Linked DNA regions of Oryctolagus cuniculus. The protein of the gene in region 1 interacts with the protein of each later gene in a biochemical or structural test. Links are inferred from orthologs where the notes say so. Each region holds a gene or a part of one and is shown in the gene's direction. Other genes may lie near its edges.

Evidence for each region. The genes of interacting proteins can lie anywhere in the genome.
Region 2: the proteins of HIP1 (region 1) and CLTB form a complex in vitro, tested with the Homo sapiens proteins (2 studies listed by BioGRID, with this or other methods). The link is inferred for Oryctolagus cuniculus from reciprocal best matches to the Homo sapiens genes HIP1 and CLTB.

Annotation. Positions count from the first base shown.
Region 1 is NC_091450.1:50,706,809-50,710,660, reverse strand, and holds part of HIP1 (huntingtin-interacting protein 1), read left to right. Parts: intron 1-24; coding exon 25-135; intron 136-882; coding exon 883-941; intron 942-1,151; coding exon 1,152-1,245; intron 1,246-3,104; coding exon 3,105-3,205; intron 3,206-3,437; coding exon 3,438-3,543; intron 3,544-3,852. UniProt on the Homo sapiens protein: Plays a role in clathrin-mediated endocytosis and trafficking. Involved in regulating AMPA receptor trafficking in the central nervous system in an NMDA-dependent manner. Regulates presynaptic nerve terminal activity.
Region 2 is NC_091437.1:62,417,620-62,422,091, reverse strand, and holds the start of CLTB (clathrin light chain B), read left to right. Parts: upstream 1-1,592; 5' UTR 1,593-1,756; coding exon 1,757-1,934; intron 1,935-4,472. UniProt on the Homo sapiens protein: Clathrin is the major protein of the polyhedral coat of coated pits and vesicles.

The DNA of each region.
Region 1 (3,852 bases):
CAGCCTTTGTGACGCTGTTCACAGGAGCTCCTGCCCAGGGGCCTGGACATCAAACAGGAGGAGCTTGGGGACCTGGTGGACAAGGAGATGGCTGCCACTTCTGCGGCCATCGAGGCCGCCACGGCCAGGATAGAGGTAGGAGGTCTCTGCGGGGCAGGCTGTGCCCGGGCGGCAACACCCAGTGCACGTGTCACAGTCTCTCATCAAAGCCACAGACACATGCCCCTCCCCCACCCCCATTTACCCAAGCCATGCCAATCCAAGGGTCAGAAAACAGTAAGTCCTTGCAGAAGGGCAGTGAGCCGTTTAAGGAGCCACTACAGTGTGAGCACATCCGGGGGTCGACTTCCAGACGGACCCCTTCCAAGCCTTCCGGCTGCTGTAGGATCCCTGTACCATTTCCACAATGGCAGCAGTCGTCATACCCACTCCAGGGGCCTGCTGCACGGGTGACATGAGACAGTGCCCATCTCCCTCTGGGTGCCAGGCACTCCGGAAATTGGTGGCACCCCCTCATGGGAGGTTCATTCACGGAAAGCTTAGCGGGCGCCTTGGGGAAGGTCCCAGGTTGCTCCCTCGCTGGAGGGGCCCAGACCACCCCCCGAGGTGTGAGCACCTGCCTCTGGCACCCCCCGGGCCTGTGGCTGCCAGGGTTCCGTGCACACAAGCCCAGGTGCCAGGTGGACAGGGTGTGGAAAGGGCGCACAGCCTGCTCCACCTGCTGTCACTGCCCATTGCACCTGCACAGAGATGGGGCCAGAGCCCTTCCCTGCCTGGGGACTCCCCAGTTCAGGTTCCCCAGCTTCCGCAGGGAGGTACAGTAGAACCGGCTTCTCGGTCCTGGAGGTGCGTTTGGAAAACTGTGCTTTTTTTTTAAAACAGGAAATGCTGAGCAAATCCCGTGCAGGAGACACAGGCGTGAAGCTGGAGGTGAACGAGAGGTTGGTCTGAGCGGCGGTGGCACCCGTGTGGGCAGGATGAGTCTCGCTGGCCGGGGGCTGTGCTCTGCAAACCCGTTCAGGGGTCAGAGGGAACTGAGCTGCCCCGGGGGCGACAGCATTGACGGTGACAGTGAGGTCGCTTCGCCTGCCTTGCTGTCCTTGGGGCTCCCACGTGCCCGCGGCCCTGACTATCTGCTTTGCTTCTCCCAGGATCCTCGGCTCCTGTACCGGCCTGATGCAAGCCATTCAGGTCCTGATTGTGGCCTCCAAGGACCTCCAGAGGGAGATCGTAGAGAGCGGCCGGGTAGGCATGCAGGCTGGGCCCGCAGGTGGGGAGCGCAGGTCTGACTCCATGATCCCTGGGGTCTAGCGGCACTGATGTCTGGTCCTGTGAACCCCCCGTGGGCGAGCCACCCCTTCTCGTGATCGGTCATCAGCCTGGGGGTCGGGTGGTCTGGGTTGGTGAGTCGCCGCTGTGACCCAACCGGGGAAACCTCTTTTTTTGTTTTGTTTTGTTTTGTTTTTTAAAAAAGACATTTATTTATTTGAAAGGCAGAATTACAGAGTGAGAGAGAGAGAGAGACAGATCTTCCATCCACTGGTTCACCCCCCAAAATGGCCACGATGGCCAGGACTGAGCCGGGACAAAATCAGGAGTCTGGTACTCCATCCAGGACTCCCACAGGGGCCAAAGCACTCTGTACCATGTCCCCGCTGCCTTCCCAGGCGCGTCAGCAGGGAGCCAGATCGGAAGTGGAGCAGCCAGGACTTGAACTAGTGCCCACATAAGATGCCAGCTTGGCAGGTGGTTGCTTAACTTGCTGCGTCACAACACCGGCCCTGGGAACCCTCCTTACACGGCACTTCCAGGCCCTCTGAGAGGAACAAGGGCTTCTGGAACCTGGGCAGATGGACACGCATGCCTGGGACCGACATTTCCCGGGAGTCTGGCCATGTCTGCTTCCATCCGAGTCCGCTCCCTGCTGTCTCTCACAACCAGCTCTGCCGTCGCTGGGCTGTTGGTCCCTGCCTGGCCCAGTTTGTCTCTCCCTCTAGGAAGGGGCCCAGGGAGGGAGCCAGCAGCTGTTTCTGCTTTGGGGGTGCCCCCTGATCCATCTGGGCCTGGCACACTGGCAGACACTAACAAAGCCTGAGAATGTTCTGGAACTTCAAGTAGACATAATGCTTTGTAAATTATTCATCGCGTCCTCCCATCTTTTGGGAAATGGTGGAAAGCAGCTAGACTCGCCCCAGATCATAACTGACTCATCGCTGAGTATGTGAGTTCTGATATCTCGGTTCCTCTTGAAACCCACTGTGGATTAGTGCCAGGACACCTTCCCCGCCACCCCCCGCCCCATAGAAATGCCAAGTTGCTTATATAAAATGGCATCATATTTGTACATAATCTGCACGCTCCCTTTCATAACTTTTGTTTTTATGATTTATTCATTTATTTGAAGGGGAGAAAGAGATCTTCCATCCACTGATTCACTCCCCCAAAATGGCTACAGTGGCCAGGACTGGGCCAGGCTGAATCCAGGAGCCAGGATCTCCATCCGGGTCTCCCATGTGGGTGGCAGGGGCCCAGGTACTCCGGCCATCCTCCACTGCTTTCCCAGGCCCATTAGCAGGGAACTGGATTGGAAGTGGAGCAGCCGGGACTTGAACCAGTGCCCCAATGCTGGATGTCAGCATTGTAAGCGGAGGCTTAGTTTGCTGCCTAACATTACCAGTCCCCTCCCGTAAACTTCAAATCCTCTCTACATGACTTAGGCCAAATACAGTGTCAGTGCTATGGAAGCAGCTGCTCCTACTGTATGGTTTAGGGATTACTGACAAGAGGAAAAAAATATTCCCACCCCCGCCAACTAATTCTGAGCAGTGTTTTGTTGAGTCCACAGAAGTAGGGGACTTATGGTAGGAAGATTGAGGTAGAGTAGACATGCCCAGGACTGACAGTGTGCAGTGCCCCCCGGGGGGGAGCACAGTCGCCTCTCTGGGTCTTGGTTTTCTCCCCTGAGCAATGGGACGGGACCACTGGTTCCCTCCCTGAGTTACTGCCAGGACCAGCCAGGACCACCCAGGACCCGTCAACCGAAGTGGTAGACCCAGAGCAGGCGCTCGGTAAAAGGTGACCCCTTCTTTCCTTTCCCCTCTCAGGGCACTGCGTCCCCTAAGGAATTTTATGCCAAGAACTCTCGCTGGACAGAAGGGCTCATCTCAGCCTCCAAAGCGGTGGGCTGGGGAGCCACCGTCATGGTGTAAGTGGCTACAGCGCCCGGTCCCCTCCCTCGGTCCCGCTCCCTTGACCCATAGTCCCCTGGAAGGGAACTGTTGTTGGTAAAGACTGAAGGCTTCACAGGGAAGCTGGAGTTGACAAGGACGGGGCTGGCATTGTCCCCTTCTAGTCTAGACAGGGCCAACGGGAGGGGCTGCAGGGGTTGGGTCCTGAGCTGCCTCTGACCTGGCCCTTGTCACATTCTTTCCTGTCAGGGACGCAGCTGACCTGGTGGTGCAAGGCAGAGGGAAATTCGAGGAGCTCATGGTGTGTTCACGCGAAATTGCTGCTAGCACAGCCCAGCTGGTGGCTGCATCCAAGGTAGGACCCCGTGGCTCAACCCCCGGAGCCTGGGGACCATCTGCACAGTGCAGCTGGCCTCGACAGTCAAGGTGGTGGGGTCTCACACACAAAGCGTGCCTCCCCGGGCTCCCACGCCATTCTCCACTAAAGGCATCTGGTCTGTTGCCAAAGAGCCCCCGTCCCCAGCTCCCCACGCGAGGGTCCCAGCCACGCCAGCACCTGATTAGCAGCCCCGACAGACATTCAAGGAGCGATGGAACCAGGACACCTGGTTTGGCTCCCATTCCAGAACGAGCATCTGCCCCTCCCTCCTTCATCTCTGAACTT
Region 2 (4,472 bases), on another chromosome or scaffold:
CTACACTAACTTTCTAGATCTTTCAGCACCCAGGCCTGTAGGTGGGGACTGAGGAAGAGGCGTGAGATGGTGCTGCATTGGCAGTGGGGGCTTGGAGCACAGTGTGCAAGGCCTTACCTGTCTTTCATTCACACCGCTAATAGACACCTACATTCTCATAACGAGGCTGCACGCGACATCTAAGCATTACGAGGCGAAATGACAAATTCCCTTCCCTCGACTTTCACTCTCTGCTGCCTGAGGGAACCACGACTCACAGCTTGGGGCACAGCTTTGCCTTCTCTGTTCTGGTGCGTAACTCAAAGTCAACCTTCAAGTCTCACATCAGAAATAGAGGGGCTAGCATGTGGCCTAATGTTTTGCTTTGTTTTTAGATTTATTTATTTATTTGAAAGGGAGAGTTACAGAGACAAGGGATGGACAGAGAGGGATCTTCATTCACTGGTTTACTCCCCAGATGGCTGCAGCTGCCAGGGCTGGGCCAGGTAGGAAAGCCAGGAGCCTGACTTCCACATGAGGGGCAGGGAGCCCACTTTCCTAGGCTCCACCTTCCCAGGGAGCTGGATTGGATGTGGGGCAGCCAGTACGAGAACCAGCGGTTTAACTGCGTTGCCATAAGGTAGGCTCTTGGCCTCATGGTTAAGCTGCTGCCTGAGATGTCTCCATCCCACATTGGAGTGCCTGGATTCAGGTCCTAGCTCTTCCGGGGTTCCAACTTCCCGCCGTGTGCACCCGAAAGGAAGCAAGTGATGGCTGAAGTAGCTGGGTCCTTGCCATCCACCTGCATTGGGTTCCCCTGCTCCTGGCTTCTGCCTGCCCCTTGCCTGCTGTTGCATTTGGGGAGTGAACCAGCTGATGAGAGATTTCCCGCTCTCTGTGGTTTTCAATTTAATAACAATGATGATGATAATGATGATGATGTTGATGATGATAAACAACCGAAATTCCATGGTGCTGCTCTGGTCTCCCAAAGTCTTGTGTTTAAAAGTCTGCCTGCTTTGCCGTGAGTCCGTCTGGCTAGCCTGGGATCGCCCTGGTACCTGGCAAAGCAGAGGTAGAGAGGTGACATTCAGGGACAGATTACCGAGCGTGGCCCAGTAGCCTGCCTGGATAAATTAAGTGTGCCTTTCTCCAGCACTTCTTACCCAAAGGCCGTCGAAGGGGCCGCGCTGGTCCTAAGAGCGGGCGCCTCCTCCAAGGAAGAGACACGGAGGGCAAAAGCACGAAAGCGACACGGCCGTGCTGGGAGCGACGCGGCGAAGGCTTTGCCAGCCTCCTTCCCAACCTCCAGGCGCAGGTGGTAGGGTTCCCAACACCGACCCCGCCGAGGCTAGAGGGCTTTGGCCGAACGAGTCCTGAGCGAACTCTGCGCAGGCCGGCCGCGGCCCAGCGCGCCCTGCGGCCACTTTGCGCCGTGCGCCCCGCCGACCGACCCCACCAGAGCGAAACGCGCTCGCGGCCGGCCGAGGAGCCAGGAGCCAGCCCGCCGGGCCCCCAGGCGCTCCGGCGCCGTTCTGCTGCCGCCCTCCTGTGGCCGTCGCGAGGCGACCTCCGGGCCGTCCCGGGCCCCCTCCCTCGGCCGGTGACATCACCACATTCCCGCTCCCGGCTCCTCCCGCCGCGGCGCCTGCAGCCGCAGTGACAGGCGCGCCGGGCCCGGTGGCGGAGAGAGGAAGTCGGGGCCGCCGCGCCGAGGCCGGTCCCGCGGTGGCTCGGGTGACAGCGCCAGGTACGGTTGCAGCAGGCACCGGGGAAGATGGCTGAGGACTTCGGCTTCTTCCCGCCGTCCGAGAGCGGGGCGGCTGAGGAGGACCCGGCGGCCGCCTTCCTGGCTCAGCAGGAGAGCGAGATCGCGGGCATCGAGAACGACGAAGGCTTTGCCGCACCTGCCGCCGGCCAGGTGGCCGCGGCGCCGCCGGGACCCGCGAGCGGGGGTGAGTCAGCGCCAGGGCCCGGGAGCTGGGGGCTTGGGGCTGGCCCCCGGGGGCCCCTGGCCTAGGGCCCCTGCCGTGCAGTGAAGCGGGCCTGCGGTAGGCCCGCCAGGGGCCGGCCGGGGGCCGTGCGTGGGTAGGGAGCGGGCCTGCGGGAAGTGGGCAGGCATTTCCCTGGAGGTCCTCACGCAAGACCTCAGGGAGGGGCAGGAGCTGAGCGCTCTCCCGGGACTGTGGGTCGGGTCTGGTGACTCTCAGAATCCGGCATGACATTTCACCCCCCAGGCCAGCTTCGCCGCCAGGCCTGGCTCTGGAATCCAGTTCCTCCCGAGCCTTCTAATGGCCTGGCCGTCCCAGGCTCCCCGGTGAGTGGTGCAGATGTGGGCGGAACCAAGCCACCTCCTGGCCCTTCAGCATAGCTCTGGCCCACAGCGGGGGAAGCCAGGGACACTAGTACTCCAGGAACTCGCAAACCTCCTCCGCCACCCTACAGTCCCTGGGGGCGGACAGGGCAGTCCCGGTGAATCATCTCGCAGGCACTGCTGAGCCCATTTCCGAGCCAGCTACACGGAGGCGCGCTATTGAAATGACTAAGAAGTGGCAGATGAAGAATTTGAATCTGTTTCTGTCACACTCCAAAGCCTCTCCAGCCGACCCTGCTGTCCCCAATGTGCACCCCCTGGGGTTGGGGCAGGGGCACCCCTCAGCTTTTTCCTGCCCTTCAGGAATGAGTACTGGCAGTCCAGAGCTGCTGTGGTTGGCTCTGGGGCCTGGACCCTGGGGTATAGTATTTATCATTGGTGTTCTTGCTCTGATTTTAGTTTGAAATTTTTTTTTCTCAAAAAACTGAATAAGAAAGTAGATGGCATCTTTGTGAATACATCCAAAACATACGTTGCTTCTGCTAAAGCTGTCTTTCTGCAGGAGTTTGTGGGGCTGTTGGGATAAGTGCTCACATGGATCCCTACATGCAGCGGCTTTCAAAAAGTTGGTGGAAAATGGAATTTAAAGAAAAGAGTTTTTTGGTGCAGAAAAAAAAAACTGAAATCCAGCCATAGAATTTTCATAATACGCATTTTCCACCAACTTTTTGAAGACCCCTCATATGCATGCATTTCACATTTTTTTGCACCCAAATAAACATTTCTTTGAAATTTCTGCAGTATTCTCATATATAATGTTTACAAAGCTCTTTACAGTAATATGTGTGATTATTTGACTGTTTGCTGAACACCTAGTGTGTGCCAGTCCTGCCCCCACCATCCCAAACCTGGGGGATGTAGAACTAGGCAGTTTCTGTGACCCAGGAATTAGAAGCAACCCTTAGGCCTCCATGTAAGAAATGTAACAAATCTTTTGTAACACGTGAGGCACTGGAGATCTCGAGAGCCTGCCTCTCTTGCCAAAGCTGGGCTGCTTACCTCTGGGCTCCATGCTGTGGCAACCTCCCTGGGAGACCAAGAGATGTGGAAATACCATGGGCAGGTGTTTCCTTACCTGAGCATGCCAGCCTCAGAGGTCTTCGGAAGCAGCAACTCCCAGCACCTCAAGTTCATGAGCCAAACATTCATTTATCCAGCCTCCTCCCTGATGAGCCCATTCCTTTCCCCCAGTCTGGCTCAGCCCTGAGAGGCCCTGCTGGGCCCAGCAGTTGTCAGAGAGAGAAGGGCAGGTGGGATGCAGGCCCAGGGCAGCCAGAGGCACGGGAGAGTTGAGGAGGTTGCAGCCTCTCCCAGAACAGTGGGGCTCCACCGACCTGCAGGCCTGGGGTACCGACTGGCCCCAGATCCAAGGTGACAGGGAAAGAAACAACCAGGGACTTACAGGGAGCTGCTGGGGACACAGCCCTCGGGCAAGCAGGCTCACCCACTGAGGCTGCCTTCCTGGGTGGCTATGGGGATGGCGGTGGTGGGCAGCTCAGCGGGCGGCTTCACTGGGGAGAATTGATCTGGCCCCTCTAAGCGCAGGCAGCACGGAACAGACAATCCTCCCCAGACCTGAGATGAGGCCAGGGCGCCTGGATGGGGCAGGGGAGGGTCTGGGCCTCCCCGGAGCTGAGCGGAAGCTGGCTCCAGCCTCAGCAGCTGCCACTTAACACCTCTGCCCCGCCTTCTCTTAGATGAGGGGGTCGCTGTCTGAGCAGTGCCACTGTTGTGTGCTCTGATGTTGGGCTTCCAGTGCCCCTGGGGACAGAGGTGTCTGGGGTGGGCCTGCGCCCTGAATTGAGTCTCTGCTGGGGATGGGGCGGGTGGGGCTGAATCTGTAGCCAGCCTGAGCACCGGACACTTTGTTTCCATTCATCAGCCTTGGGGAGGTCCCAGAAGGTTTACATTTTCACACCCAGCTGTCTAAGCAGCCAGCCTGGCTCTGACTTGCCAGTCAGTTCTGGGCAAGCCCAGTTTCCCTGCTGGGTCTGGGTAAGCTTACAGGAATGTTCTGGTCCCTCTCTGCCCTTGTTGCAAAATGGGTCAGACACACATGCCCGGGGTTTATCCCCGGGATGGAAACATAGCGATGGATCAGACAGCACTGTGGGAACGC